Linked DNA regions of Saccharomyces cerevisiae S288C. Changing the gene in region 2 together with the main gene of any one other region gives a genetic interaction. Each region holds a gene or a part of one and is shown on either strand. Other genes may lie near its edges. The genes, in order: YJL107C, MGT1, MPC3 and PFY1.

Region 1 (8,968 bases), on a different chromosome or scaffold from region 2:
ATACTGTTTTGATTTAGTATGGATACAAAAATATCGGAATCTAACGGCAATGATTGTAGTACACCGACTGTATCGTACGATGATTCTACGTTACTCGAAGAATCCACGATATTTTGGACGATTTTTAGTTTTTGAGCATTATTTAATGAAGCGAATATGCTGATAAGCCTCTCGGCAGCTATGTTAGCTAACTGCTCATAATCTGAGTTAAGAGCACTGAGAACAAAATCGATCATGAATGACTGCTTTTCTTTTGGTGATACCAAATTAACTAAAGAGCGCTCAAAATGCTCAAAGTTTGTTTTATTAGCAATACAACTCTTTTCCCAACTAGATCTGTTTTCTAAGTAGTGGGAAATAAATTCCTCAAATAGGGAGGAATAAGAAGATGCATAAGTCGGACTCTTGTTCAGGTTATCCAACAACACTGTCTTGGCATACGGAGAAGGTATTAGTAGGGCTTGATTAGCCCAAAACATCAAAAAGACTTTTTCATTTCTCTTTGGCGTTAAAATTCTGGATATGTCATAATTCTCAGTAACGTACTCATTCAAAAATCCTGATAACCATGCCTCACTATCTTTGGGATTTAACATAGGAATGGTAACGTTCTCTCCGTAAAGTTTATCAGACAAAAAGTAGTGCTTAGTGGATGGTCTTTTAGCAATCAAGGAAAGAATCTTCTTCACGCCAGTCCTAACTTTTATAGAAGCATCTCGCAAAGCGCAAATCAAGCATGGAACTAAAGTAAAAATATTAACTTCCTTTTCAATACTATTAATATATTTTGCAATATTGTTTAAAGATATTAGCTTTAGCGCGGTTGGAGCGGCTGGAGATATAGTTACTCTTAACAAAAACGTTATTCTTGATTCTAAAGTAGTGAAAAATGAAGTCAAGAAGGAACTTGCTTTATAGCCTTTACCAATAGCTTCAGTGAATAAAGATAAAACCTTTTTGTATCTTTCTCCAGTTTCTGTTAGCATGGACACATTCGTTGTGTTTATCAATTCTGAATGCTTATCCAAGAATGTTTGAAATGAAGCGGTATCCTTTTTAGTAGTTTCCACGGGGTCGCTTAACTGCTTTACAATGTCGGTGTTAACATCGGCATTAGTGAACAAAGATGTAGTAAGCCTGATTTCGAAGAGTTCGCCTGTCAGTCCCAATGATTTCAAACATTTTAACACCAAATCTTCATTTATGGAGATAAAATATTCGAATAGTTCTACTAATTGTGACTTGTCCTCTAAAATTTCGGAAAGGTAAATCAAATCAGTGATTATCAACCTAACTTCGTATCTTTCTAGTCTTATTTTTTTTAGTAGGCTAAGAATAATGTTCAATTTGGACCGATCATACCTTGCTATGGATCTTGTATAGGAAGTAATGAATTTATCACAAACTGGTTTGTCTTCCTTATCTAAGAAGGTTAGTATAGACACAGTGTCGAACTTGCTATCAAATAACTTGAAAATTTTGGAAGGTAGCTGATCTACGTTACCTTGTCCTTTTAATGTTTGGAACAGCTTACAAATCGTGAGGAGTGCTGAATGTTTTGCCTCTTTAGCATCTAAGTTTGAAAGAATGGTTTCCATGGCAGCTAAGATAATTGTTTTCTTTAAAGGCAAAGCTGTAGCAAATACAACTAATATGGTATGTGCAGCTATTTGACAATCCTTTGATTTAGAGGCTAAAAGTTTAGCAGATATTTCAAGTAAGATTGGAACAAGCTGATTCAGTTTTTCATCGTTGTTTGAATTGAAAGCAACAACGTTAATAAAGCAGCATGTTGTAAATAAAAGCTGGTTAGTATACGTTGCATTATGCTTAATACATTGATCCAAATAACTGGTATAAAGTTTCAGAAAATCCATGTCATTAAAGAGCTTTATCATGGTTAGCGCCGTTGGGGGCTTTTCACTTCTAACAAAATTCGACAAACAATTAAACAAAGGGGGCAACTTAATAATGCTGAGAATTCTCTTAAAGACAGGTGTTTGGTAGTAGTTGAGAGTGGACAAAAGCAGCATCTCTGTGTTTTTAACATGTATTTGAAAACGACGAACCAACCATTCTGTTGCATGTAGTGTAGGTGCTAAATACCATTTAGAAGAAGCCAATAGCAAGTAAGCATTGATAGCATTATCCAAATCTTTAATTTCTTCTTTTGTTTGGACATTTCTATCAAGAGAAATGGAAGACTCTGAAAAGAGTGTTCTTGAGAAAATGGCAAATTTTGGCTCAATTTGGCTCAATTCTTCAAGAGCCTTACTAGCGTTTTCAAAAATGAAATCGTAATCTTGTGTTGCAGCCGTCTTTGAGTTATAAATCAAAGAAGCAGAATGAAGTTTTTGTCTTCTCTTTCTATCCAACGCAACAGTAGCATTGTTGGAAGCAACTTGAGCTAATTGGTCACTCAACGAAGACATTTTCAAAGTTATTCGTACTTTGGTGGCCAGTTAGATAAGTCTGATTCTGAAAGGTAATAAAGAAAGTATTTGTTACACCTTCGAAAATATCTAGCTCATCGCTAACTGAAAATTTTTTTCTTTGCTTAACGCAGAAAGAAAAAAGAAAAAAAAAAAAGTCATGTGACTTGAATATTATTAATCTATGTATGTTATGATTATTGGCTATGAAACCATAAAATTGAAAAAAAGGATTCATAAGCTGATATGTTATTTGTACTTAATGCTATATTTATAATTTACTTTTGAAATTTTTCTTAGTGGGTCAAAGTCTTCTTTGATACTGAAGAATGACCCAATGGCAACACTTGGTCCATTGGTTAACAAGTTTCTAACGAAGTGGACCTTGTGAGAGCTTATAAACTGAAAAGACCAGTTTTCTTTTTACCAAAGGGGTAGACAAAGAGTGAAGAAGCAAATAGTCCCACAGAAATACCGACACAAACTTGAATCATTGTCATACCAAATGACATTGAGGACGATGGATCGGAGGTGCTTGTCGTAATGGTTTCATTAGCATTAACAATTGTATTTGCACTTTGCAACCCAGACAACAACGAATTTTGTGAAGCAATACCAGATGGCACTTGAACGAAGATTGCGGGAAGCATAGCTGATACCGCTAAACCTTTCCAAATTCTGGAATATAGATTACCTAAAACACCTATGACAAATGCAGCTAAGGCGGCAGTAAACTCTGTCGAATTCGCAAAATGCTTACCGGCCCAATATGTTACGACATAACCGGTGCAAGAAATGAAGACCATAACTGGCAGTTGTGAGATGTGTGCTTGATTTAATAACGAGATACTAATGGTAAACGCTGGAACGAAGAGGAACCTGAACCACGGAGAAATTAATTGAGGACATGAAATTTCGTTAGTGGCATTGTGATACATCCATCCAAACAAAGCTGAGCCCAATGTTATGCCAAAACCCAAAAACAAAGAATAAATAATGGCGTAGAACATACGGACCGCGCCAGCAACTAGGCTTCGACTTTGCAGTTCTAGTGCACCACACAGAATAATATAACCTGGCAGGATTAATGCCAATGAGCCTTGTGTAACTGCACCAAAGCAGATGTGAGAACGAGGGATAGAGCCAAAAGCTCTACCGCAGAAGCTAACGACAATAGATGCAGAAATTTCGAAGACGTTTGAATACATGTATGACTTTTGTGAAAGAATAAATTGTAATGACCCCACACAAAGCCCCATAAAAAATGAGATTGCCAGGTTTACCCAATCGCCACCAAAGGCATACGGAGTGACCATAGCGGAACAAAATGCATATAAAAGAACACACATCCAAGGTGGATATAGATTCGTGTCAGCCAAAATTTGATCGAGTAAAGCATTACCTTCATCGGCACCTAAGGTATCATGGACAACTCTTTTGTAAACGGCATGAACTTGATGCAGCTTCCAAAGGTTTAGACCTTGAGTACACCTAACCAATTGAACTTCGGAAGTTCTTGTTGTTGCATCACCAAATGAAACAATCATACAACCTGGAAGATACAAAACTGACCATCTATTTCAAGGACTCTAGAAGTCATAACCATATATTCTTCAAGCCTATGCGTCGGAGCACCATACATCATAAGAGCTCTACACATGCGTAGGATGAACCGGTGTCTTTGTAAAATGTCTGCAATGTGAACCGTAATTTTCGCTTCAGTTTTTAGTCTTTTCTTCAGTCTAGGCATTCTGCCTTTTTTAGCCTTGCCTTTTAAATTTTGTAATCTGCTACGCTTGGCAACTGGTACGTCTTTGTTTCCAGCAGTAGAAGAAATACCTTCATCATCTGTTGTTACAGCTTGTGAATCTGAAAAGATTGAGCTTGAATTTTGATCTTCATTTTGGTAAAGTTTCAATAATGACCCTAGTACTCCACTTTTCACTTGAGATGGAGGGGGTACGTATGTGGAGGTTTCAATAAACCCTTCGTTATCGTCGGATGAATTGTTTTCTGCATAATCATCAAAATGATCCACTGCAGGAGCCAGAAATGAATTTTTTGAACTTGAGCCTAACGTTTCGCCATCCGACGTACAATTTACGTCACCTTCTAATTTGAGAGCCTCCAGTTTTTCTTTATCGTCGCCCTCATGAACGTCTACGATTTTAGACGCATCAGCTAGATCGGATAAGGGAATTTCTTCATTACGGTTATTTTTTTCTATATCATTCTTCCCATTTTCATTTTCTGAAGGTATTGGTGCCAAGCCAGGGACCAAACCCCCTTGATTTCCAGTCAGGTTATTTATTATCTTCTTGATGAACGTCTCATCGTCTCCATCCTTACCATTGTTCCTTAAATGTGTGAAAGAAACTTTAGGCTTCCTCTTGTGGCGAGCAGGCCTATCTTCTTCATCTTGTCCATCTGTGCCCTTAGAATTATCGCTGGTTTCTGTAGATCTTGAAGACAAATCATTTTCTAGAGCATCCGTATCAGCAGTGAATCTTACATTTTTGTTATCATTATTAGAAATACCTAGATCACTGATGCTTTTACCACTTAAATTGCCTTTTTTGCTCTCGGCTGAATTGGAAGTGCGATGGTCACTACTATCTTCAAGATTCACTCCCGCTTGACTTTGCTCGGAGCTTCCCACCCGAAAATCTGACACAGGAGTGGTTGGTTTTTCATTTCTACCGTCCATTGTATAGCCTATCGGTTATTCGATCTTTTTTCTTTTGTTATTCTATATCTAAAAGATAAAAGTCGCACACCGCTAAGTAAGTAAGTAAGTGTTATATAAGATTTATTTAGCTACGTTCTCAGATATAGTAGGCTTAAAACAAACGTAAAACATAGTTATATATTAATATGCAATTCGGTTTATTTCTTTTTCAAGATTCTTCCGAATTTCGTCATATTGGGTTCGCAATTTTTGGCGATGGCTTTGCTTCGATATTTTTCGGATGAAAATAGTCAAAGGACACTAGAAACACGAATGGCGCGCTGATTACGGAGACGTCGGGCTAAGACAAAGAGGGTCCATTCGGCGTGCTGGTGGTACTGTGACAGATAAACCCAATGCCCCACTTTTCTCGAGGAGTTGAAACAAGCGGGACAACTGCTACGTCATAAAAATGGGAGTACCAAGGGAGGAGCCATAAGCCGGGTAAAATTTGGCGCTGTTTTTCTTAATCTAAAAATAGTTCAACAATAAAATTTGGGCTCCGCCCATCCAGACCAAAGCAATCTTCGGCCTTAACAAGCCAAAGGGAACGAAACCCAGACTCTACCATGCATTTCGAACATGTTGTAGCTAACTACACTGGTAACCCAGATACCTATTCTCTCAGTAGCTGTTTCACCAAGACTCCGCACTCATGGTAAGTAGAAAAAGAAAACTCTCACAAAAATCTGAGTGGCACAGCTTTTCCAAATACGCTTTTTAAACTTGGAGAAATAAAGATGTATTACCCGCTGGTGCCTTAAAATATCCTTTTCTCCGGTTGTCCAATAATTTATGTTACGGCGGCTATTTGAGTTTTTGTGGAAATCTCTATCATTAATAAATGTCAGCCTTGTGTCTTAAATGCAATTCAACAGGGAAAAGGCGCGAGACTTCGGCGGCAAAAAGCCACAGACAAGTGCTGGTTGCAAAGAGGTAAAGAAGTAATGTGTGTAATCAAATAGATATATTAAGGTAGCAACTCACCGGTCTGTCCATTTTCTTTTCCTGAATAACTTCTTCTGTCTTCACACATTCATTTCATTTTTATTTTCCAATATCACTCAACGAGAAAGAAGTTACAAGATCTATCTTTCAAAATAGTTTACAGTTACCTTTACTTTACCCTTTCCCTTTTCAGTTTGTTACCCCTTCTCCTAAAAGTTTTATTTTTTGGGTAAAGATATAAAGGACACTCCAGTCGGTTAAGGTGGCTGTCTAGAGAATATAAACCTGTATTTATTTACCAGGCTTATCAGAAAAGTTAATCGTGTTCTTAAATATTCATTGAAAAGGAACGTGATACAGACGTAATAAAAGAAGAGTACTAAGCTTAACTTAATAGGTCATTTATGGTTGAAAAACGTAGTAGACAGAGTTCCAGTAGTGGCTCAGAGTTCAGTGTTCCACCTGATGTCGATAACCCGCCACTTTCTATCCCTTTGAAGACTTTATCAGACAGATATCAGCTGATCGAAAAACTAGGTGCAGGATCATTTGGTTGTGTAACTTTAGCCAAAGCGCAATTTCCTTTATCGAACATATTGGGTAAACAACATGATATAAGGGGTACTTTAATGGATCAGCCTAAAAATGGTCACCAAAACTATATAACAAAGACACAAGGTGTAGTGGCTATAAAGACAATGATGACAAAACTGCATACACTCCAGGATTATACGAGGGTCAGAGAAATTAAGTTCATACTGGCAATCCCAGCGAATGACCATCTGATACAAATTTTTGAGGTCTTTATTGACTCTGAAAATTACCAATTACATATCGTAATGGAATGTATGGAGCAAAACCTATATCAAATGATGAAACATAGAAGGCGCCGAGTTTTTTCGATTCCTTCTTTGAAATCTATTCTATCGCAGATACTGGCTGGGTTAAAACACATCCACGAACATAATTTCTTCCACAGAGATTTAAAACCTGAAAATATTCTTATCACACCAAGTACCCAGTATTTTGAAAAGGAGTACATGAACCAGATTGGATATCAAGATAACTATGTCATTAAACTTGCAGATTTTGGTTTGGCACGCCATGTTGAAAATAAAAACCCGTATACGGCCTACGTTTCCACAAGATGGTATAGATCGCCTGAAATATTATTAAGAAGTGGTTACTATTCCAAACCTTTGGATATTTGGGCATTCGGGTGCGTGGCGGTGGAAGTTACTGTATTCAGAGCTCTCTTCCCCGGTGCTAACGAAATCGATCAGATATGGAAAATTTTAGAAGTTCTTGGTACACCTATCAAACGTTCTGATTTTGTTAATACAAACCACATCACAGCTCCACCACCTGGTGGATTTTGGGATGATGCCAGTAATTTGGTCCATAAATTAAACTTGAAATTGCCTTATGTAGAAGGTTCATCGTTGGATCATCTACTTTCTAGCTCCCAACTATCCGATTTATCTGAGGTTGTCAAAAAGTGTTTAAGATGGGATCCTAATGAAAGGGCAACAGCCCAAGAGCTTTGTGAAATGCCATTTTTTGAAAACACCGTGGCATCCCAAGTAGACGCAAGAGGCAATGTGACTAATACAGAACAAGCATTGATTTTTGCAGGTATAAATCCAGTAGCGACCAACACAAAGCCCATATATTTTAACTCTTCAACAAAATTGCCCGCAGAAACAGAGTCTAATGATATTGATATCAGCAACAACGATCACGATTCTCATGCTATGTGCTCACCAACATTAAATCAAGAAAAACTAACTTTGGTAGAATTTTTAAACGAATTCGTTGAAGAAGATAATGATGATCACTCAATACCTGATGTTGGAACAGATTCTACCATTTCAGATTCTATTGATGAGACTGAATTATCAAAAGAAATTCGTAATAATTTGGCCCTTTGTCAACTACCAGATGAAGAAGTCTTAGATCATTCATTATCGAATATTAGGCAGTTGACAAATGATATTGAAATTATAAATAAAGATGAAGCAGACAACATGGAACAGCTATTTTTTGACCTGGAAATTCCTGAAAAGGATGAGTTTCAGAGAAAACAACCATTTAATGAACATGCAGATATTGATGAAGACATCGTTCTACCATATGTGAACAACTCAAATTACACACATACAGATAGGTCACATCATAGAGGTGATAATGTTTTGGGTGATGCCTCTTTAGGCGATTCGTTTAATTCAATGCCAGATTTTACTCCAAGAAATTTCTTGATACCTACATTAAAAAAATCACGGGAAAAGTTCGAGCCTCATCTATCCAATTCAAACCAACATTTTGGAAATGTAACCTTCTAATAATTTGTCATTTGACTGACGAATCGTTAGGCACAGTTATATAGTTATATACACATAGACATACATATGTTCGCATATATATTATATTACTATGCATTCACCTAAATAGCTACTGCTCTATTAATACAGTGCTTTTTCGATGGCTTTAATTTAACTTATTAGACATTACTTTGCGTTTATTCCCCTCCAATATATTTTTATGTTTGTTTTTCTTGAACATTTTATGATTTCTTGCTCTTGGCGGCTACTGATTTTGTTAAGCAACTCATCAAGAGGTCAAAAAAAGTAGAACGAGATCTTTGTGTTCGGTTACCCGGCTCAGATCCTAACTTGGTATGTTTATTCGTATAAGTTACTGTTGTCCACAGGCAATACTCTGCAGAAAATTAAAACGGCATTAATGCTAGGACAACCAGAACTGTTACTACTGTATGTGCGATAGTTGATAACTGCAACATTATGCCCGGTATATTCTCAAAAAACCCTATTACTGCATACGAAGAAATCGCAAGAGAAAT
Region 2 (8,025 bases):
TTAGTGTTTGCACACAGAACAAGAAACAATTTTACCATTGGTGTTTCCCTCTATTTCTTGCACGGCCTATTTGCTATATTCTCTATGAACACTGTTTTGATAATGACCACCATCTTTTTGTACACTGTGCCTTTAATCTACGATAGAAAGCAGGCTAGAATTGACCGTGCTATCGACAGGATGAAGGATCTAGTTATTCATAGGTTTCACAAAAATTACAACAAGGTGGTTGAAAAGACTGAACCATACATTGACAAGATTATCCCACCCCAAACCGATGAAGGCAGCTACTCAACCTCTATCAGTAACGAAAACAAATCTTCTACTTCTCAACGTAACAAGAGCGGCCTTTCCTCTTCTGAGTTTGACAACATGAACGACACGTCAGCCTCCAAAAGTGGCAAAGACAGCTATTCTACCTCTCAATATAACCGAGCCGAATATCCAGTTTCTCAGAATGAGAATATTGGCACCTTAAAATCTGGGAAGCAGGAAATACCAACAGAGAAGGATTTCAACAACAGGCATGAAAACTTCAGTAAACCAGATGTCAAGACATATGATCCAAGAACAGTTGATATTGAAGAAGAATTAGCAGCTCATCAGCGTGAACTGGAGCAAAACCTAAAAGATGGTGATTACAATCTGGTAGGAAGCAAGGAAATCCCAGATCCAATCACCGTTCCAGCTCCAACTAGACACACCACTAAACCCGCCGAAAGCCAATCGATTCCCATCAAGAATAATGAAACCTTACACAAAACCACGCACGGCCTAAAGCAAAAATTGCAACACGCATAATCTAGTTTTTTTTTTTTTCTCTCTTCTTTCTAGCTAGTAGTTCATTTCCTTTTCTTTTTTTCAAAGAGGTCATATTTATCACCAACTATATATTTTTTTGAAGAAAAGATATCATTACAACGATAAGTAGTTACAATATTTTTTTTATTTAGTTTAAAATAATGAGTAAATGACGTCGCATTTCTTCGCTTTTGTTATTTTTATTCTCCTCTCATTTTTGAGGAGAATGTTACAATATTTTACTAATGTCCTGAATAATATTTGATTTATGGCATAATAAAGAAATGCGAATTCGTTAATTTGTCAAACTTCGAAGAGCATCAACTGCCTTCCTGAATCCCATTCTTGCAGCCCTCTGATAATATTGTTTGGCCAGATCCAAATCAACTTCACAACCGACACCTTTTTCGTAATAAAATCCTAAGGCAAATTCAGTGCGGGCTAATTTACCGTCTGAACACTTGCTGCTCTTCAAGGCCCAGTTGAATGCCTCTTTATTGTTTGGTTTCAAAATATTTGGTGCTCCCGTTAAGTACCATCCACTTAAGGATAACATTGCCATCGGATTCCCCTTCGGCTGAGCAGCAGCAGCTTTGGAATACCAATATATGGATTTTTTGGCCACCACTGGCAACCCTAGGTCTCCAAACTCATAACAATTTCCTAATTTCCATTGCGCTAAAGGGTACTCAAAATCTTTGGCACATTGTTGGTAGTATTTTATTGCCAGTTGAGAGTCTTTTCGTATGCCGTTCGCAAATAATAGGTTCTGGATTTCTGGCGGCAAAACACTGAATTCATATATTTTACCTAACTCATATAATGTTTGTGGAGAGTCACCCTTTTGGGCAGCTTTATCAAACCATTTAATAGCTAGCAATACATCAGTCTTTTGCATGTTCAGACCGTATAAATGGCTCATCCCTAATTTATACATACACGCAGAATTTGAACAAACTTCTGCGCCATGCTGGTAGTATTGGAAGGCCTTTTTTATGCATTGTTCTTTGGTTGGTGATGGATCCAAAGAAGAGGTGCCCCTTTGGTATTCAAAGCATACACCTGCACGGTAGCATGCATCTGAATTGTTCAATTTCGCAGCTTTACAATAATATTCCAGCGCCTTTTCATCATTTTTAATAACGATGTTTTTGTTCTTTATAGGTAAATAGGGTTGGTGTGAATACAGCGTCCCCATTAAATACATGGCAGGTGGCCATTTTAAAGTTATCAATTTTGTGAGCACCTTGAATGAATGTTCCAAAATGACTTTCTGGTTTTTGAGCATTTCCTCAGGCTTTAAGCTTCTTTTGAGCTTCTCCGCGTTTATGTTATATTGCGATATGAAATCCTCATTAAAGGCATATGTAAGTAATGTTTCACACCATTGCATTTGTATCTCGGGGGTGAATTTTGAAGAGTCAGTAATTGTCTTCTTGTACACTTGATAGAAAGCCAATGCCTCTGGTGAATAGGAAGACAGTTTGTCCTCACCACCTGAGGACCCATTATCGTCTGTCTTCGCGCTCCCAGTGGGTGGTTGGTTGATTTTTTGTGGTGGAACAGGATTATTATTCAAAGGTCGTATTGGAGCTTTTTCCTCGGTTCTGTAAACTTTTTCCTGCAGTATCCTAGATTCAGATTCCTCATAGGGTGGTGGCGCTGAGTTGTCCCTTACAGACTCTGATATTCGATTTCCACTGCTTATTGATGCATCTTGTACAGCTGGTGAACCCAAACTCTCTTTTGTAGAACTAAAATTGAAAGGAAGTTCATACCTACTACCAGTACTGTTGGTGCCATTATTGGCATATCCTATTTCACCTGTTGGCTTGGAATTAAAAATGTCCATGCCGTTATTACTATTTATGGTTACTGGAGTGCCTAATTGACCACCATCAGCATTCCCGTCTGTGAAATTCAGCGCACTCAAAGGCAGCGATAATGATGAGGAAGATGAAGGGGATGTAAAAGGAATAGCTGGTGTGAGTTCAACGATAGAGTCATCCACTGGATAGGGTGCAGGCACTATATTTTGAGCTGGCAAACCATGCCTATCCGAATTGGCATTTCCCAATTTATGCGAGGACTCCCGCGCCCTTGCTGGTGGAAACATGTTAATGTGTTTGTCATAGAGGTTAGGTTGCGGTTGGCCCTGATTAACCATTGCCTACTGTATTAAAACAAAGTATTAAAACGTGGTGGTACACTCTGTACAAAAGAATAGAAGGAAATGAAAAGAAAACGGAGTTAAAATCTACTTCATAAAAAGAGACGCTTCCAAATCCAGTCTCTACCACGTTCTTGTATATAATTTGAGCAACTCAAATTAAATTACCGGGATATCTGCTTATTCTACAAGCCATAGCATCCAGTGCTAAGGTTCATCTCAAGCCATCTTCAATACACTTGATAATTAGTCGTCAATTTTAAAATTAGGTTTCGTTCTTGAAGGCACTTAACCTAAGCTTTTTACTATATGACCTATTAAACAAGTCTTTTTCATAGTGTAACCTAACGTTTATACACTAATAACCCTAGGGCTTAGTAGAGATTCATACAGAAAAAAACGTAGAGTTATAGCAGTAAACTGAGAAAAGAAAGAAGGTTAGTACAATTGAAGAGTAAGGAAAACAAAAGCTTTAGACCTTATTGGAAGTGCTTGGGCGCGGAGTGTGATTATAAATAATGTTGCAGCTAAGGTTTATGCCTGGATGGGTCCCCAGAAATGGTTTTTTTGGTTTGAAGGAGACAATTGGTACAGTACATAAGAGATTTTATGCTCTGGCTTCTGAACAACCCTCAAGAAAGACAGTAAAGCCGCTGGACTCGAGGAAGACGTTTCTCATCGATACATACAAGCATTTAATGGAGAACAGTTCTATGATTTTTTTTGTCCATTACAATAATCTTTCCAAAACAGAAGATCACCATTTCAGATTCAAGATTAAACAGACAGGAGGGAAACTCACAAAAGTAAGAAACAACCTGTTCGAAGTCTACTTGAGAAATTCGCATCTGCCCGACCCATGTGGATTCGTGAAGCGTAAAGAGCAAAACTGGAAACATCCACTCTTGCCACTACTGAAGGGTCCTACGGCCACAATTACATACGAAGACACCAACCCTCAACAAGTAGCCAAGCTATTGAAGGTTCTGCAGTCAGCACAAGACAAGCTGATGGTGATTGGTGCAAAAGTAGAAAACGAAGTTTTGAATGTGGAAAAAATAAACACTTTTAAGACTCTCCCCACAAAGCCGGAAATGCAGTCGCAGTTAGTCAGCGTTTTGCAAATGCTAAGTGGGTTGGGTTTGGTTCGTACGTTGGAAAACAGTTCAAATGCATTGTATTTAACACTAAAATCTCACAATGACAACCAAAAACCTAAAGAGGATGTGGAGTCAACTACAGATGCAGAATCGAAGGGATCAAAGTAAAAAGAAAATGCCCGTAATTCGACAAGTTTTATAAAGGTTTTACTATTCAATCATGTACATACATCATCAAAAAATAAAAAGACAATGAAGCAATAACGGTAAATATACTTTAGTCTATGTATTGACGTCAAAATTACCTTTCTTTTACCTTTCTTACCTTTTTACATATCTCAGCGACCGTTGAAAAAAAAAAAAAATGAAAAATTTTGGTGATGACTTCAGCAAAAAATTTCAGGATATTTCTGACATTTCACTTTATTAAAGCGCCACAAAAGCTGGATTAGTATAGATTCAGCAGTTCCCATAGGATAAAATTTTCAAGCGTTTATTGTTAAGATGAAAGCCAAGCCACTAAGCCAAGATCCAGGCTCCAAGCGTTACGCATACCGTATAAATAAGGAAGAAAATCGTAAGGAGTTGAAGCATGTAAAGATCAATGAAAGTTCTTTGGTGCAAGAAGGCCAAAAGATCGACTTGCCAAAGAAGAGATATTATCGTCAAAGGGCGCATTCCAACCCATTTTCAGATCACCAGTTAGAGTACCCAGTATCTCCCCAGGATATGGATTGGTCCAAATTGTACCCTTACTACAAAAACGCGGAAAATGGACAAATGACAAAGAAGGTGACGATTGCTGATATTGGCTGTGGATTCGGTGGGTTGATGATAGATTTATCACCAGCCTTCCCTGAAGATCTTATCTTAGGGATGGAAATTCGTGTGCAGGTTACAAATTACGTGGAGGATAGAATTATTGCCTTAAGGAACAATACAGCTTCAAAACATGGATTTCAAAACATTAATGTCTTGAGAGGTAACGCTATGAAATTCTTGCCCAACTTTTTTGAAAAGGGCCAGCTTTCTAAAATGTTTTTTTGTTTCCCCGATCCTCATTTCAAACAAAGAAAGCATAAGGCAAGAATTATCACTAACACCTTGCTGAGTGAGTACGCATATGTTTTGAAAGAGGGCGGTGTCGTGTACACAATTACAGACGTCAAAGACCTGCATGAGTGGATGGTAAAACATTTAGAAGAGCATCCTTTATTTGAACGGTTGAGCAAAGAATGGGAAGAAAACGATGAATGTGTGAAAATAATGAGAAATGCCACAGAAGAAGGTAAAAAAGTGGAAAGAAAGAAGGGTGACAAGTTCGTCGCTTGTTTCACAAGATTACCAACGCCAGCCATATTGTAACATAGATGTATAACTAGAACAATTTACCACATATACATAACTATTTCTTATGTTTATTTTCCTAAAATCCTTTATCCAACTACAATCTACTAAGGCTTAAGCTATTTTCCTTTTCATTATTTAATAACTGTTCTTTCAGTTTACAGCTCCATTTATATCCGGTTAATTTTCTATTGCTACCAACGATTCTATGGCAAGGTACTAACAATGCCAGGTTATTTGAGCCGCAAGCTCTTCCGACAGATCTTGCGGCAGTTGGCTTCCCTATTCTCTTTGCAATATCACCATATGTTACGACGTGGCCGTGTTCCACGTTTAAAAGCTCATTCCAAACTTTACGTTGAAAATCTGTTCCAAACAGGAACTCAAAGGGAATAGCGCCCGATGGTAATGGCATTTTGTTTTCTAAACATATTGTATAATTTTCGATTGATTTCTTATATGTTTCTGCCTCTTTTAGTTCCTGTAAATCGTACATTGTATCCTGTTTCTCATGTTTCTTCAAGAAGCCTTCCACCTTTCCCAATAAAAAAAGCTTATCATTACCTAACGAGGCAAAAACAAGGTTTTGAGTCTTTTCCCTAAACACCAAAAATGCACCAGTCACTTCAGTTTCAATGAATGTATAGTAAAGCAGTTCCTTCATCGTTGGTCCATTTAGATCAAAAATGCGACCGTTTTCAATTTTTTTTTTGTGCATATGCTATATCATTACTTGATTAATCTTCCTTGTTTCCACCGCATTTTAAATGCCCTGCCAGGCCAATAGCGCCGTGCCTTTTTTCTAATGACTATAATAAGAATATGTATGTAGGATAAAACTAAACATTTATACTTAGGATGAAGCAAATATTTTTATGAGGCCATACTAGGCAACTGCCATGTCTCCAGGCGAATTCTGGCCTCCACCTGAACTGGGTTTATTCGCAGCAATGTTGTCGCTGATATTTGGATCGGTTCTGTTATGAAAACTGAAAAATTCTCCAGTCCTTGATGGTCCTGAATCAGATGTAATGAAATAAACATTTTGTGCAGAACCGTGTGTCTGGTTCGATAAGTTTCCGTTTTTGGGTAGAATCTGCTCATTTTGAATAGATGAATAGGCTTGATTATTTTGTTTGATACTACTTCCTAGAGTGTTTATCTGATACGCGGAAAAAGATGGTGAGGAGGAGAATTCAGAACCGGTATCGTCAAAAACATCATCATGGTTACCGCTACCGTTTCCGGTAGAATCATCATCAGAATCTAACCTTTCGTCACGGGTTTCTATAGGAAAAATCTTCAGCACAAATATAATGGAAATAAAGGAAGATAAAGATGGAATAAGATAAAACTTCCAAGACAGACGGTCAATAAGTATAGGGGTTATTAAGCTGACGAACCACTTAAAAATCCAATAAAAGTTTGAGACTAGTAGTATCACTGGGGCCTGTGACAAGTGAGGTAGAAGCTCAATGGTCATAACCCATCCTATAGAATCCCAACTGATGAAGTGCGTAAAAAGAAAAACAGCAAATAGTATTGATATATACCTCGTTGTGCTCTTGGGAAACCAGTCTGTAAAAGATATGGTAAATAGCAATGCACACATCACAATCGAACCTAAGAGTACATTCGTTTTCTCTTTACGTTTCCGTAACACCAAGGGAACATATGCTAATATTACGATGCTGTAAATTAAAGCATTAAGCCCCGTTAAATAGATAGATTTTCTTTCTCCTCTCCCCATTTGTTGTAATATTAACGGTGAGTAATACAAGAAAGCATCCACTCCATTTGTTCGTGTGAGAAGTTGGAAACCTATCAACAATTTTATTATTGAAGAAAAATCCTTTAAGATATACGCATATGGATAGGAGTTTTTTTGAAGGTGTGACTTTAATAATATGTCTCGTTTCAGGACCCTAAATTTCAACTGAGTTTGGTTTTCTTCGAAATTTCCATCATCGAAAACATTCGATATTAAAACCAATGCCTCTACGTCGTTCTTTTGCTTCAACAGCCACGAAGGGGACTCTAAAATAAGATAGAACGACATTAGGTTTAGTATTATTCCAAGTGCCACATGTGTTGACAAAGGGTATCTCCATGCAAAGCCCAAATATCTGAAAGCACAATTAATCCATATTCCGAATGAATACGCAATGACACTAGAGACGCATTGAATGGAAATTAATGTCCGTTTTCTTATACAGGGAAGGGGAAACTCGAATTGATAAATTATTACCATAGAAAAGGCAAAGCCCATACCTACTCCGAGTAAGAATCTACCCAGTAGTAAACACCATTGGTTTAGAGCCAAGACCTGAACAATGGCACCCAAAGAGTATATCATTGTGCTTATTTGGAGCATTTTTTTCCTGCTACAAGGCTCCAGGATGCCAGAATAGACAAATAACGACGCCATGAACGCACCCAGATTAACAATGCTCACTATATTGCCCAGCGGAGAAGTAAGTGGGTAATGAAAATACTTCTGGAACGACAAAGTCATAACGTTACCAGATATGAGGCCTTGGTCCAACCCTGACAGCGAGGAAACTAGCACCACAAAAGATATAAACGAAGTACGCAAAACTCGACTGG
Region 3 (8,036 bases), on a different chromosome or scaffold from region 2:
AGAACGAGCAGTACCAATCAAAGTACCACCTTCACTTAACCAACCTCTGACATCTTCCCAAGCCATTTTCTTTAAATATTTACCGCCTCTTAGTAAACCTTCGTAACCTTCGTAAACAGCAAAAACATCACAGCCGAAATGTATACCTGTACGAACAACGGCACGAACAGCGGCATTCATACCTGGAGAATCACCACCAGAAGTCATGACAGCAATCTTCTTCTTCTTTTGAGAAGAGCCCAATGTTTGTCTTAGTAAGTCAGAAGCATCGGAAGAAGCTCTAGAGATGATTTCGTCTTCGGAGGTAGCTTCTAAGAAAGCATCTTTGGAAGTTGGAGCGGAATCGGTTGCATTAGCTAAGCCTGAGAAGGTGATGTTGTTGCCCATTGGATCTTTCAAAAACACTAAGGTATCGGACAATTTTTCGGCTTGTTTTGGGAATTTCTCGACAATCTTGTTCAAATCAGTAGAGAAATAAGTGATTGTGGCGGTTTCGTTGGTGTCGAAAGTTTCATCGATTGGAGCAGACATCACTAAACGAATCTTTAATAGAGCACCTTGACTTTGAGCCTTGTTAGTAGCTTCTTGTTGTGGTATACGGAACCCAGAAGCATCAACCTCACTCAACTTGAAAGATTCTAACCAAACTTCTCTCAAGGAATCTTGGGAAGTCCCTGAAGATAGTAAGCTATTTTCACCATGTTTGAATTTGTTGAAATCTTTCACAGTTGCAAATCCTAGAGTGTGATAAAAGTGAATGGTCTTCTTGAATAAAGCTTCATCATTTGTGATGATAGATCTGAATGCAACACCGTAGCATGAATCTTGAGATTGCATCTTTGATATGATTTTGTTTCAGATTTTTTATATAAAAGCTTTCCCAAATAGTGCTAAAGTGAACTTAGATTTTTTGGTACCTGTTTCGAAATTAAAAATAGAAAAATTTCTCTCCCTATATTGTTATTCTTACTTCAAATTTGTTTATCGTTTATTTACTAGGCGAGACTTGAGTAGACGACAATCCAAATAGAATTAACAGATTTTATTGGTAGAAAGCAATAATATTCTTTAGATGGTTGAGAATAAAGAAGTAAAAAAACCAGTAAAGAGAAAAAGAAAAGGAAGAAAATTAAAGAAAAAGGATGATTACACAAGAAGATAATAAAAAAACTCCTTTATTAAGAGCGGAAGAATTTAATAATGAAGATGGGAATAAGCAAAACAAAAACAAAGAAGGGAAAAAAAATAAAAAATCGTATTTATTTATTTAAAAAATCATGTTGATGACGACAATGGAAAAAAAAAACCGATTTCACTTTCTCATCCTTATATTTTTCAAAGGTTGATGCAAGTCGATCTCAAATCGGATAACGCTGCCAACTGGGAAATTCCGCAATTCCGCAAGAAAAAAAAAAATGTGAAAACGTGATTGCATTTTTTACAGGTCCTAAAGGATTTAGCCCACATATCAAGAGGGTGGCAGTAATTGCACTGATTAAGCATTCGTCAGCATTAGGCGAATGTGTGCATGAATATTGCCAGTGTGCTCGATATTAGAGAGTACATTGAAGAATATTGTACCGGATTATGTACAATAACTTTGTTAATGAGATATTAATTTTCTTTTTTACTAGCCGCTATCCCATGCACGATGCTAAATTTCAAGAAGAAACTGAGATTTAAAAAATTAGTGGAAGCTGATAAAACGGACTATAATGGTGTATGGATTGAGGAATCTCGACATGTTTTTCCATCGTTTTCAACGATGACTGTAACCCGTAGATTGAACCAGGCATGCCAAAGTTAGTTAGATCAGGGTAAAAATTATAGATGAGGTTATATGTATGGTACGTAAAATTTACATGTTTGGATAGTATCATAAAATATAGAAAGGTGGAAGGGATTACCTAAAAATCAGAGTTTATAATATGCAAGGACGGCCTGTTGAGAACAAAAAACTGTAGTATCTATCGCTCACTATATATCTATTAAGTTAGGATTTTCTTGCTGATGCTGCTGTTGTTGCTGTTGTTGATTGATGGGGACAAACGCAGTGGGAACCATAACATACCCTGTTTGCTGACCCTGCATCATTTGTGGTTGCTGCTGCGCACCAGTAGAGGCATACTGAAGTTGACCGGCCACGGGATTCGTCATGTATGTGCCCATTGGTGATGTCACCACGTTTTGAGCCTGAAATGGATTACCTGTTTGACTATGAGCAAGAATCGGGGTGGTTTGTGCTTGTTGGAGGGTAAAAGGATTTGGGGAGTTTTGGAAATTTTGTTGTTGCTGTTCTCTGGCAATATTTTCTAGCGAAAATGGGTTGTTAGACCCCGTTTTTGTTGGATCTAAAGTGCCGGTCATAATTGCATTGTTCTCGGTGGTCGTGTATCCGCCGAACCCTGAGCCGGTGAAATTTGGGGTGTATTGAAGGTTAGAAGCATACATCCCAGTTTGTTGATTATTCAAATTTGGAGTAATCTGTATCTCACTTGGTTGTGGCATTGTAGACGCAGATGTCAACTGTAAAGCCTGTTGCTGTTGTTGCGGTATCAAGAAGGGGTTAGCAGTTGGTTGAGGGACTTGAGCGGTCATTTGTGGCTGGGTTGGTTCGAATGAAAAGGTGTCATTATTTAAATCTTGCTGTTGTGATCCAAATGGGTTGTAAGCATCTTGTGGGACCGTGGGGGAAATGAGCAACTGTTGGTTTTGTAATTGTTGCTCCAGCAGTCTTTTTTGTTCCCTTATCTGTTCCAGTTTCTTCTGCGCTATAGACTTATTCTTGTCATTGCTGTTGTTATTGTGACTACTGGTAGAGCTAATGGCCGTAGATGGTTTTCTATCTTGCTGCGGTTCAGAAGGTTCACCTCTTTGTCTTTTTGTTTCCTCTCTCAAATGCTCCTCAAGGGAGTTAATTAACTTTGTAGTAATATGTTTGATAACGGGGATTTTCAAACCGACAGCTTTTCCTATTTTTAGGTATCTAACAACATATTCTGTCATATCCACGAAATCCTTATAGAGATCCAGTGTTCTTTTTGCGTGCTCAATGGACAATTCGAAGAATGATTCTAAAAGTGTAATGACACCTTCATTAAGAGCATTGTACAGACCTAGTAAATCTTGTACTAACAATTGGAATGCATACAATAACAAATGGTTTTCTAAATCTGAAACAGAGTATTTATTCCTTATCAAGGCATTAATTTGAATTTCCAATGATTCAACATGATCTAGCTCTTCATCCATTGAAAGCTGGTTCTTACTGCCCAGCTTTAGCGAGGAGTAATTGTCTCGTAGGTGATCCATACCTAGCCTGCCATACTCTTCACAACGTGTTTTTAGGTATTCGTCGTATCTCTGCAAAGCCCTCATATCATTGGAAGACCACTTAGTAGTATGCGAAATCTTTCTCAATTGGAAAACATCCAAATTATGGGAATAGTGCCTTAGCGTGACATCTTTTTCGCCTTGTTGTATCATCAGATGCAACACAATCAATGCCTTATAAACAATGGTCCAGGCTGTATCAGACAACCTTATATCCAATGCGTGGGTAATCTCTTGCAATCCTCTTGCGCTCGAAGTGCCCGAGAGAATAGGGTCCACATATTTTTGCTTTGGAGGGGCCATCTTTATTTTGGTCGCCCCTTTAACCAACTTAGTATATAATGAAGACATTGTTTCACAAACACGCCTCTATATCTATTATAGGGGTAGCCGAGACAGTCGCGCTTGTATGCTTGATATTGTTACTCTCGTAGATGTTAGCAAGCGTAGCAAATTGGTACTCCTGCTACAGATTTATTTTTTCTCCTTCTAAAATTATAACTCAAGCAAGAAGCCCTAATAACAAGTTAACCAGACTAATAAGTCGACTTTTTCCTCGAATGTAGAAAAGAAACTTTTCTACGCAGCTGCAAACTTAATCTATCCCTCCACCAAAGCAAAATGAAAACAAAGCCATACTGGGAAAAATCTGAAAAAAAAAATGGTAGGAGTAAAAGAAAAGAAAAAATAAAGGTTACCCTGCAGTTTGGATAGTCGGGTAACATTTGGCCCTTTTCCTCCTTGATTGGATATTATTACCCCGATTACCCCTCATCTTGGGAGTGCCCCGCTTTTATTTCTCCCGCCAATCGGCTATTAACGGCTTTACGTCATTCCGTGGGCGGGTCAAGCGAGCCGCTCCCTGGTTTGGTCACGCAAAACCGAAAGGCTCAAACAAAACTAAGGCCATCATATATATATATGCGGCTGCGTGCGTGTATTCTCCCGGATAATATGGTGCGTTGCAATTGGAGTATTGGAGAAAATTTTCTTTTCCCTTTCATTACGGCGGAAATACTTCATATAAAAAAAAAGAATACAATCAGTCTTTAAGACTATACGCATAAGCATTCAAGACACATAGAAACACAAACCTATATTTTTAATGTCAGCATCAGCTTTTAATTTTGCCTTTAGAAGATTTTGGAATAGTGAAACAGGCCCTAAAACAGTACACTTCTGGGCCCCAACTTTGAAGTGGGGGCTGGTCTTCGCAGGGCTAAATGATATTAAGAGGCCTGTTGAGAAGGTATCAGGAGCACAAAATTTATCTTTATTAGCGACGGCACTGATTTGGACGCGTTGGTCGTTTGTCATCAAGCCCAAGAACTATCTGTTAGCTTCCGTCAATTTTTTCCTGGGTTGCACTGCAGGCTACCATCTAACAAGAATTGCTAACTTTAGGATACGGAACGGTGATTCTTTTAAACAGGTTATTCACTACATAATAAAAGGGGAGACTCCTGCAGCCGTCGCAGCAAAGCAAACTGCATCCACATCGATGAACAAAGGTGTGATCGGTACTAATCCGCCAATAACGCACTGATTACGTAAACGATAATATGTTCCTGAACTCGCATTTTTTTAATGATTTTTTATGACCTCTTATATATTCTTTCATTATATAACCTCTATATTACATCAAAAGATGGAAAAATATAAAAAAATTAAAAAAAAAAAAAAGAAATTTTTTCCAAAAGAGTATATTTATATGTATGTATACATGTAGGGAAAATAAGAAACTTTATTAATAGTAAAAAAGCATATATACTTTATTATTAACTCTTTTGTTTTTCTCGAGAAGCTTAATTTTGGGTCAATTCAACGACCTTTTTAGCAGCAGGATCTAATTCATCAAACGAATAAATCTTCACGCCTGACTTATTGATAATGTCGCGGCCTTCTTCTACTTTGGTACCTTGCAAACGTGCCACAATGGGGACCCTAACTTCTAGTTCTCTGGCGGCTTCTACCAGCCCCAGGGCAACATAGTCACATCTTACGATACCGCCGAAAATATTGACGAAAATTGCATCTACGTTCTTATTGGATAAGATCAATTCGAAACCTTGTTTGATGGTCTCAGGGGTGGCACCACCACCACAATCCAAAAAGTTCGCAGGATCGCCTCCATTTAATTTGATGACATCCATAGTAGCCATAGCCAAACCAGCACCATTGACTAAACATCCAATGTTACCCTTCAACTTAACAAAATTCAAATCATACTTCTTTGCCTTAACTTCATCAGGATCTTCTTGTGATAAGTCCCTCCAGGAATATATCTTTTCCTGTCTGAATGATGCGTTATCATCAAACCCAAATTTGGCGTCTGTACACATGATTTTGTGGGTTGGATCATGTTCAATTTCACTCAAAGGGTTAATCTCCACTTGTGTAGCATCCCTTTCCATGAATATTTTATACAAATTGGAAACAGCTTTTGCTGCCTCGTCTTGTGCATCGGGACTGAAACCGAGACTCTTGGCAACATCCTTGGCCATTTGTGGGCTCAATCCCTTTGAAGTTTCAATTGAAAATTTCTTTATAGCATCTGGGGTTCTCTCAGCCACCTCTTCAATATTCATACCACCTTGACTGGACGCAATGATCATCGGTTTCTTGGTTTGTCTGTCCATTAGAATAGATAAATAAGCTTCATGCTTTGTATCTACTCTTTTCACTATATATACAGCAGATACTGGCTTCCCCGCTATTCCCGTCTGTTTAGTAATCAGGTTATGATTGAGCATTTCTTTTGCAACATCCTCTGCCTGCTGAGGACTTTCGATCATGTGAACACCGCTTTTGTAACCGGTGTCGAAGTGACCTTTACCTCTACCTCCGGTCAATGCCTGCGCCTTGATGACCAGTTTGTTAGTGTTTAATTTCTTGGCTGCTTCGAAAGCCTCTTCGGGAGTGAACGCTGGAAATCCTTCTGGAGTACCAATACCGTATTCCCTCAATAACTGAGCTGACCTGTATTCATGAATTGACAAGTGTCTCCTTGCTTGTAAAGCAGCTTGCGCGTTTAGCCTGCTTAATTGCCCACACTTTGAAATTAGGGATAAGGATTTTCTTGAGTACATTTTGTTCAGTTGCAATGCTTCAGTATTTTTTTCGATTGTATTGACTCAATCCTTATTAATCCTAACTACCTAAAAGTCAGTTACAAAAAAACTGGACTATCGCTCTATAGTCACTGTTATTTTTCGAGAGAAAACGTCAAAGTGCTGATAAGGAAAACGTCGATCTTATATAAAACCTCAAAGATGTTGACTACGCGGCAATTGAAAGGCCAACCAACTTTTAGAATACTCACTCCGCCGCTGCGGGGAAAAGCCGAGAATTCCCGATGAACACATAATCGATACCAGTTGGAGCATTTTTCTCTGTACCAAGACATAAAAAGAGTTTTTTTTAGTATCTACCTGGCTTTGGTGTTCCATTCAAGGTAGAGAAGTCCTCATACAGTTGGAGAGATGAATGTATCTGTGTATATGTATGTATATATTAATATGGCTACGATGTCGTCTAATACCCCTTCTTCTTTTGTTTGGTGATGTGTGCACGTAACACTTTTTGCTTGTCTCGTAGTGACATTTTTTGTTTACCTCTAACAGATCTCTTGTGAATAGACATAACAAAGTTCTTCCTTCTTTCTTTTTCTCTGTTGGTAGTAGAACGCATGTTGTCACGCTTACCGCGTCTACTACCAAATTTGTCTCTACCTTCACGACCTTCCAACACCTTTTGTAATCTTTCCTCACGAGACTGTTTGTATTTGATAGGGCCTGTTAGTGTACTTGCATCAACTAACTCTTCACGCTTGTCTTGTTTGTGGATACCCATTATTTTAGCAACGCTTTCCTCATTACGCAATTCTTGTAGTTTAGCGAAATCTGCCGGAGTTAAAATACGTGTAGAAGCAATTTCACGGAAGGCAGCTTCGGGATCTATATCTGCATCTTCTTGCTCATCCTTCACTTCTTTTTCATCGTCATCATCGCTTAGTTCCAAATCGGAATCTGATTCCTTGCCCTTAGCATTGTCTTTTTCATCGTCACTATCTTCCATATCAACGTCATATTCTTTATCACTATCCATGGTGACCCACTCACCGTCGACATCGTCTTCTTCGCTATCGACATCTACTTCCCAGTTGGCATCAGCGTCTTCATTTTCACTCTCTTCACCATGTTCTTTCTTCCATTTGGCTAACAGTTCGATACCAGCAATCCCTTGAACACTGTTGTCGGCACCAAATTGCGGTCTTTTTGAATCTTTACCTCCTTTCTTGGCTTCTTGTACTTCCATGGCGGCATTCTTACCACGATCCTTCTTCTTTAGCATTTCTGGTGCCACGTCTCTATACAACGCTATCAATGACTTGGCAGCCATATTGACACCTTTAGCTTTAGACCCCTTATATTCTACCAGATCCTGTAGTAGAATCTCATCGATAGCCAAAGGTGCACGAGAGCATATTTCTCTAATGGTATTAATGCCTGCAGCAGCGACTTCATTGGCAACACCGTCTGATACAAACTCGTCTGCAATCTTTCTCACCATGACATTTATAACTTCAGGAGGGACAAGATCATGACATGCTTGGGCACATGCGGACATAATTCTTGTAACATCTCTTTGTTTCGGAGTTAAGTACTTTAAAAAAAAAGTATAAATTCCTAAAACAATTAACT
Region 4 (8,235 bases), on a different chromosome or scaffold from region 2:
GGGAAGAAGCAGAATCTAAAAGAAGACAGCAAATTAACCTGAGAAGCTTGGGAGAAGACCGTGCCTTACTGGAAATGGCAGGTTTAGTTGGCCAACATCAAGGTGGCGGTTCAATGTGATGCCTGCCTTTTTTGCTGTTTTTAGTTATTGGGATTGATTTCACTAAAAATCAAGACCACTAAATAAGGCTATTGTTTATTTTAATATTTATTGCACTTGTATGAAAAGTACCAAACTTTTGATACTGATATTACACTTTTAGTCTTGAACTTTCTTCGTTAAATTGCTGACCTACTTTCTGTTCTTCGACTCCAAACAACGATTCCCAAATGTATTTTCACAGGGCCGCATTATTTCTTTGATTTCGTTTTTTTCACCAATTTTTTCTTGATGTGCTTCTTGACTTTTGTTTTCCTTTTTTCTCTTTTTGCATCTTTAGCTTCCTGCTTGCGCAATTTTTTTAAATCCTTGTCCTCATGTTTCTTCCCCTTTAAAACTTTTGGTTCATCATCGTCATAGTACTCGCCCTCCTCCTCGTCATCTTCTTCAGATCCGCTTGAGCCGTCTTCTTCATCATCTGAGAATTCCTCTGTGCCAGAACTACATTCGTGGTCAGCGTTATCAAATTCAAATTGCTCAGAAGCAGCAAAATTGCGTTCATTATCATGGGCAATCAAGCTTTTCAGTAAGTCAAACTTACCATCAGTATACCTATCAAAATCTCTTTCCTCTAATCCACCCAATGATCTAACTAAATGCAGCGATCTGAATATTTCATCTTCTGCCTCATCTTGTTCTGTAGATTTTATTGGTAGATTACTAGCAATGTATGCAACCAAGGCGCTAATATTGTTATAATCACCTTTAAATTTCTCCAAAGTTTCTGATATGACAAATTGAAAAATAACCCTTTCAGGGAAAATACTTATACCCATCTTCTCGAAATAAAGGTTAACGTTTTTGATATCCATCCTTAAAAAATCTAAACTCATTGGATGTTCAGGTTCCACACTTTGGGAAACATCGATCATATATAGTTTATCATCATGAACTATGGTGTTATACTCTGACAAATCGGCATGAACCAGGCGACAAACTTGGTACAGCAATCTCATATATGCCACCATTGTGTGATAATAATGGAAAATTTCATCACGATTCTTGTACGGATAATCTTTTAATTTAGGTGAGGCAAATCCATTACCTCGGCTTAAAAATTCCATAACTAAGACGTTGTTCTTAACTTCTATTGGCTTAGGAGCTGGAATGACGCCACTTTGATAAATTCTTTTCAGGTTCCTAAATTCCTTTTCAGCCCAAATTTTAATCATTTTCCTTGGATTATGTTGAGATCTGGAATTTCTAAATCTAAATTCACCATCAACATATCTTTCACGATCTTTGAAGACTAGGATAGAGGTCTTATAAATCTTAATGGCATATTCTGCACGGGATCCGTCTGTCTCTAAAACTTCATACTGGCCTGTTTCCTCATCTATTACGGGTGCCTTACCGGTACCTGCAAAAGCGTGGTAAACATTAGCTTCTTTCCCAGTACTTAAGCAACCGTTCAAATCTGCAATCACACCTCTGGTGACCATAGACTTCAAAAATCTCATAGTTCTCGGATCTAAGACATTTTCCACAGTCGCCCTATTTGCTTTATCCTTTGATGTTTTCGCTCTGCTGAATGATAATTCATCAGTTTTTATTTTGTGACTATACTTCTCTAAGAGCTGATTATTAATATGGTCCGAGGCACCTTGCGACACAGACAATGAATCAAATTTATCTTCCAAGGACATGACCTTCTAAAAATAACGGAGTTTGAATCTCTAAATCTGTTTTAACTTCTTTTTACTATTATTTTTAGTCTTAGTATCTCATCTCATCTCAATTTCTATATTCCACTATAAAATTTTTCACTCTTTCTGCGCGCGCCAATGTCCCCGCAACTACTCAATAGGTAACATGAGAATATTTCAGTTCGTAAGAGAGAAGAGATGAAGTTATTTGGGCTCTTTGCTCGAGGTTACAGAAGGGCCGCATTAGAGTGAATGAGCTGATGATATTTCGCCCAGTTCTACATTTTTTTTTTTTTGGAAGTATGACCTCTGTTAAATTTTTTTTTTTTTAAATTTCACTTTCTAAAGTCCCAGAAATCCGCTTGAATGTCTTACATATTGCAATGGATATGCTTGGGTGATCATACTTCCTGGCTTTAGATATTTGAAACTTAACTCTTGTCAACAAACTTCCTATGGAGTGTATAAGAATTGTAAGTTATAACACCGGCGAACAATCGGGGCAGACTATTCCGGGGAAGAACAAGGAAGGGCGGTCTTTTCTCCCTCATTGTCATAGCAAGGTCATTTCGCCTTCTCAGAAAGGGGTAGAATCAATCTAGCACGCAGATTGCAAACACGGCTTAATAATATGCCTATCAGGCATTCACCCGTGTGACGAATCGCACACCGCTGCTCTCCTTAATTCCCTAGAGTAGAAACCGAGCTTTCAGGAAAAGACTACGGCAGTAAAGAATTGCTTTACTGGGCGTATAAAACCGGGAGAATCAAGACATTCTAATGACTTGATTCAGGATGAGAGCTTAATAGGTGCATCTTAGCAAGCTAAAATTTGGACAGCTCTCATTACTAAATTAAGATAGAAAAATGCCTGCTACTTTACATGATTCTACGAAAATCCTTTCTCTAAATACTGGAGCCCAAATCCCTCAAATAGGTTTAGGTACGTGGCAGTCGAAAGAGAACGATGCTTATAAGGCTGTTTTAACCGCTTTGAAAGATGGCTACCGACACATTGATACTGCTGCTATTTACCGTAATGAAGACCAAGTCGGTCAAGCCATCAAGGATTCAGGTGTTCCTCGGGAAGAAATCTTTGTTACTACAAAGTTATGGTGTACACAACACCACGAACCTGAAGTAGCGCTGGATCAATCACTAAAGAGGTTAGGATTGGACTACGTAGACTTATATTTGATGCATTGGCCTGCCAGATTAGATCCAGCCTACATCAAAAATGAAGACATCTTGAGTGTGCCAACAAAGAAGGATGGTTCTCGTGCAGTGGATATCACCAATTGGAATTTCATCAAAACCTGGGAATTAATGCAGGAACTACCAAAGACTGGTAAAACTAAGGCCGTTGGAGTCTCCAACTTTTCTATAAATAACCTGAAAGATCTATTAGCATCTCAAGGTAATAAGCTTACGCCAGCTGCTAACCAAGTCGAAATACATCCATTACTACCTCAAGACGAATTGATTAATTTTTGTAAAAGTAAAGGCATTGTGGTTGAAGCTTATTCTCCGTTAGGTAGTACCGATGCTCCACTATTGAAGGAACCGGTTATCCTTGAAATTGCGAAGAAAAATAACGTTCAACCCGGACACGTTGTTATTAGCTGGCACGTCCAAAGAGGTTATGTTGTCTTGCCAAAATCTGTGAATCCCGATCGAATCAAAACGAACAGGAAAATATTTACTTTGTCTACTGAGGACTTTGAAGCTATCAATAACATATCGAAGGAAAAGGGCGAAAAAAGGGTTGTACATCCAAATTGGTCTCCTTTCGAAGTATTCAAGTAATTGTTTTTGCGTGTTTCTCGTATGATTGTAATATGTAGATAAATTAAACATAAGTATATCAAATGTCGATATTCTTAAGACTGTTTCGTAAATATGTTAAATACCGGATGTGACTACATATAAAAAGTGCGCCTTTTACAGTGATAATTAGCGTCAATCAATAAAATATTTGTAAAATAGGAAGCGAAATCCCGCAGATGCCAGAATAGGTGGTGTATAAGGCAAGAAAACTTTACCTGCATAAATTAGTATTGAACACCAATCAAGTAGTCAGCCAATTGCTCGACAATCTTGGTGGCCTCACCGGCTTGTACGGTTGGTGGATAATGAGCAATAATAACGGTTTGCTTAGTTCTTACACAAACAACACCCTCAGCATCATGTCTACCGTAGATACTTCTATCGTCAGCTCTCAACAACATGAACTTTTGGCCTTGAATATGCAAACCATTGCTTTGCAAACCAGCTGGATTGTCGAAGCCTTGAACAATTTCACCAATTTCGTTTGGTTGCAAAGATAGGCCACCAGAAGTAGCCCAAACAGCGTCACCTGCTCTCGAGTAGATGACAGCTTTGTCGACTTTACCGGTTCCTATTAAGTTATCAGTGTATGCTGTTTAAAAGTAGGAGAAAAAAACGGAAAGAAATTCATGTTTGAAATTTCATATGTTTTTTGATATTCCAGTTAGTAATTTACTCTGAGTGGTTAATCTTCGAAATTACGCGCATCAACAAAAATCGGGCATTGCCAAACATTGTCACACAAGCTAACCTCCGACTCATTTCTTTCTTAATCAATTGATAATTGTCTCGTTCACATACCTTGCCAAGACATAATTTGCGATCGTAGTTGGGTTTATGTTGTGTATGTAATTTATCTTTTCTCAAGGATCACACAGTTGTTTTAAGAAGGGAATGAGAAAGGGTCAACTGAGCTTTAAAAAGAAAAAAAATATTAATGCGGGTAATGAGTTTCGTACAAAGACATTTCATGGCGTGTTCTCGCCAAAAATCATGGTAAAACCTCCCACACAGTAACCTCATACTAAATACTACAACATGTCATCACTCCATTTCTTTGCGATTGTACATACTAATATATATAAACAAAGTAACGTCTCCTCTAATCCTCGTCTTCGTCGTCCTCGATGACCGCAACCCTTCTTCTTTTTGTCTCGCTCCTATCTTTTTCTTCTTCTTCCTCTTCTCTGTACATTGCTGCTCCTTCTCTTTTTAAATTTCTTAGACGAGAGGCGTTCTCTTCATCCGCGTCCTCTTCTTCTTCTTCTTCCTCATTATCATCCTCTTCGTCGTCAAACGCAGCCTCCTCTTCCTCATCGTCGTCGACTAAAAAGTCATCTTCTTCATATTCATTTCTTCTCGAGGCTCCATAGGTAGTGGGTGAATTTTGCTTTCTAAATCCCGTCTCAAAAGCGGCATCTGGGGATTCTTGTTTCTCCTTTTCTTTGAGCTGTCTTCTCCTTCTGTCTCTTAAAATCTGGCTTTGCTTTCTCTCTAACTCCTTCTTTTCCACTTCAGGATCCATACTTACAATGTATGTTCCAGGACCCTTGCTTTGTCTTTGGTTCCTTCTTATAACAGCTTTACTTAGTTTTTGATGTATTTTTGAATTCGTCGAAGTTGGAATAAACATCAACGTCTTTTTTATTTCACCCCCTTCGTAACACTGGATCAACTCTTGTTGGTCATGCGATACTGTCAAAAAAGTGTTGCTCGTATCGTTGACCAATATATCTGTACACTCTTCACCAACTTTTAGCGAATATGTACCGTCTGACCACTGCACTATTTGTGTATTTGATTCTTTAAAGACATGTTGGTCTTTGTCACGAGAGTATCTCCATCTAACAGTGTTTTCATCAATCAGGCGGTCGTCCAGTTGATCCTCCCTAGAAGCTGAATTGCTTGCCCTTTCGTTTACTTTGGCCTCAAAACTTGGAGGGTCGAAAGGAATTGGATCGATAGTTAAAAAGTTGGGAATTCTAGCATAGAAAATTTCGTTGTGAGACGCCGTTTCATTCACATTAGCTTTACTTGGAATAATATGTCTGACAAGCTCTACATTTTCCTCTTTAAAAGTGTGAGTAGTCTCATCTTGATCAGAAAAGTTATTAGCATCCTCACCATAAAATTTTCGGGTGTACATGGCTTGCTCCTCTGCTTCATCATCATCTAACCCGAGACTTTCTCTATGACGACTTCTATGGTTGATATTCTCTCCCTCGTCGTCTTCATCACTATCACTATCACTTTTTTCAGTCTCCGATTTTTTAACATCATCATCATCATCGTCATCATTGTCATCTCCAAATAAATCATCTAGTTCTGCGTCTTCTTCTTGTTCCTCTTCTTTAGTATCATCATTTCCATTGACTTCCTTGACATTATCATCTTGAGAGCGGCTTGTTTCCTCATTGCTTGTACTATTGGTGGTAACGCCGACGTTATTGCTGATTTGCTCCTTCTGTGGTTGATCCTGTGGGCTTTCAGATGACATCTTAATTATAGTCCAGTATATCTAATTGGATTACTTTGATTGGACGCACCTAGTTTACGCAACCTATCTACTTAACGACTTTCTTCAGCTTTCGTATTCACTTCTATGAGCTTGTTCTTTTTTTTTTTGTTTTTTCGTTTTTCTTTACGTAGCAGATAGTCACCCGTAACGATTGAATATGGCAAAGCTTTTTACATAATAATGGTACTTATGGCAATAGTGACATTTTACATAAACTCTTCATTGACTAAGACTACTTTAGAATTCTTTTCAATGGCTCAATATCACCTTCTTGTCCTTGTTTGACATATACTAGGAAATATGGAGTTGCAGTGTTACCCTCATTGAAATTGAAGACCTCCTCTTCCTGGACCTCACTGATGGTTTCATCATTGTACTTCCTCCAAATTCCATTGCGATTTCTGTCCTTGATATATATCCAATAGTGACCATAACTGGCCTCGCCGCGATGAATAAAAACCGAAAACAGTGAGTAACCATATTCCTTGAAATCGTCAAATTGATGGCTTATTTTCTCTTCCAAACTGTTGATATCATTGTATAATTTCATCAATTCATTATCGATATTTTGAACGTTGTTTCTCAGCGTCTTTATCACATCATTAGCAGCCTCAATTTTTAAAGGAGTTTTCTTTATGGTATCCGATTCCAATAGCTTGATACTCTCCAAAAATGCATCCTTCCTTGTAAGCCCTGAATCATCACGACTCAAAAGCTCTCTTTGTCTATTTTTCATTACCTTCAACTTTTGCTTCATTTCTTCTGTTTCTTTCTTTTTTGCCAACAATAAAGGGTTCTCTGTATCCGCGTATCTGTCCATGTAAATAACTTCTTTGAATGGTAAGGGCTCAATGGATTTAAACGGCATTAATCTTTCACGATCGTAATAAACTCTTTGGATTTGTACCTGCAAAATAGTAGGAAAAGTTGTAACAGCAACGGTACGTATAACATCACCATACTCTTCCATTGTCAGATATTCGTCTTTAAAATAAGAATCAAACGCATCATAAATATCTTTAGGATGATCGCCAATATTTATCAGTAACGATAGGAATCTTTCAACTTTCGTACGGACTTTATTTGTTGCGGACAAAGGAACAATACTTTGTTTAGTAGTACCATAAAATAGTTGCTTAACCAAGTCATATTGCTCGTTGTCTTCATCATATCGGATAGGCTCTGAACCGCTTTCTATCTGAAATAACACGTTTCCTATGCATTCAGTAACATCTTGTTGCCTACCCATTTCCAAAGCATTTTCTAATTGATCAGAACTGATTTTTGCCACACGCGTAGGTGAAGTTAATCCTGTTGTATCTTCGTTCTCACTTACTTCAGCATCATTCGATTCATTTTTTTTTCTGTTCGCATCTGTACCAACATCGCCATTAAGGCCATCTTCCATTTCTAAATCAATCAGGCTTGTATCCTTTATTTTTGTAGTAAATGCGTCATCCGTTGTTTCCTTCTTTGAATCCGAAAGAACTCCTGTTTGATCAACTACTTTATTGCCTTCCACTTCAAATTCTACTTCAACATTACTTGGAGCAAATGCCAAATATGCTAGCTCTTTTGAGGGTGTTACACATCTTTCTCTTGTATGAACCATCGCATAGAAAAGGTTGCGAAGTTGGTATATGAATTGAATAGATCTTTCCACTTCGCCTCTACTAATTTCTCTTCCACCAATTCTTCTAATATGCCCACTATTAGAGAGGTGGTCATTGAAATTTTCTACCGTTTTTTGATATTCCAATACATATCTTCTTAGTGGCGCAATGGAAAAGTAATATTGTAATAAAGAATTTAGGTAACAGGTGTTCCCGATATTATTAATGCCAGTTGGCCAATTTTCTGGCGGCAAGGAATTTGGATCTATCGTACCAGTTAGTAAGAAGTTGGTGATTAAAGTTGAATTTCTTTCTATACTGATTTTGGTCAATGCTGCCCTCAAAATAAGAAATTGGTCAGGCTCATAAACGTTTTCATCAAACCACTTTTGTTTAAAGATTTTCAAAATGGTTTCGTCAGAGGCATTTTCATTCACTTGAAGAAGCTTCAATGCCTCTTGGTAATCAAGCT

The links.
Region 1: mutations in MGT1 (region 2) and YJL107C together harm fitness more than expected from each alone (negative genetic interaction), as found in Saccharomyces cerevisiae (one large-scale study listed by BioGRID).
Region 3: mutations in MGT1 (region 2) and MPC3 together harm fitness more than expected from each alone (negative genetic interaction), as found in Saccharomyces cerevisiae (one large-scale study listed by BioGRID).
Region 4: mutations in MGT1 (region 2) and PFY1 together harm fitness more than expected from each alone (negative genetic interaction), as found in Saccharomyces cerevisiae (one large-scale study listed by BioGRID).

Annotation. Positions count from the first base shown.
Region 1 is NC_001142.9:214,878-223,845, forward strand, and holds YJL107C (uncharacterized protein), read right to left. Parts: upstream 5,140-8,968; coding exon 3,976-5,139; downstream 1-3,975. Other genes in the region: snoRNA-binding rRNA-processing protein UTP10, read right to left, coding at 1-2,432; pheromone-regulated protein PRM10, read right to left, coding at 2,828-3,979; protein kinase IME2, read left to right, coding at 6,513-8,450.
Region 2 is NC_001136.10:94,986-103,010, forward strand, and holds MGT1 (methylated-DNA--protein-cysteine methyltransferase), read right to left. Parts: upstream 6,083-8,025; coding exon 5,516-6,082; downstream 1-5,515. Other genes in the region: RTN2 (Rtn2p), read left to right, coding at 1-801; ACK1 (Ack1p), read right to left, coding at 1,097-2,968; mitochondrial 54S ribosomal protein uL10m MRPL11, read left to right, coding at 3,490-4,239; TRM8 (tRNA (guanine46-N7)-methyltransferase), read left to right, coding at 4,576-5,436; YDL199C (uncharacterized protein), read right to left, coding at 6,305-8,025. UniProt on the Saccharomyces cerevisiae protein: Involved in the cellular defense against the biological effects of O6-methylguanine (O6-MeG) and O4-methylthymine (O4-MeT) in DNA. Repairs the methylated nucleobase in DNA by stoichiometrically transferring the methyl group to a cysteine residue in the enzyme.
Region 3 is NC_001139.9:972,898-980,933, forward strand, and holds MPC3 (mitochondrial pyruvate carrier), read left to right. Parts: upstream 1-4,438; coding exon 4,439-4,879; downstream 4,880-8,036. Other genes in the region: PFK1 (6-phosphofructokinase subunit alpha), read right to left, coding at 1-837; YGR240C-A (uncharacterized protein), read right to left, coding at 1,680-1,880; YAP1802 (Yap1802p), read right to left, coding at 1,978-3,684; LSC2 (succinate--CoA ligase (GDP-forming) subunit beta), read right to left, coding at 5,139-6,422; SDA1 (Sda1p), read right to left, coding at 6,868-8,036. UniProt on the Saccharomyces cerevisiae protein: Mediates the uptake of pyruvate into mitochondria.
Region 4 is NC_001147.6:548,442-556,676, forward strand, and holds PFY1 (profilin), read right to left. Parts: upstream 4,447-8,235; coding exon 4,434-4,446; intron 4,225-4,433; coding exon 3,857-4,224; downstream 1-3,856. Other genes in the region: RTC5 (Rtc5p), read left to right, coding at 1-119; protein kinase RIO1, read right to left, coding at 351-1,805; glycerol 2-dehydrogenase (NADP(+)) GCY1, read left to right, coding at 2,673-3,611; Paf1-complex subunit LEO1, read right to left, coding at 4,735-6,129; ubiquitin-specific protease UBP2, read right to left, coding at 6,383-8,235. UniProt on the Saccharomyces cerevisiae protein: Binds to actin and affects the structure of the cytoskeleton. At high concentrations, profilin prevents the polymerization of actin, whereas it enhances it at low concentrations. By binding to PIP2, it inhibits the formation of IP3 and DG.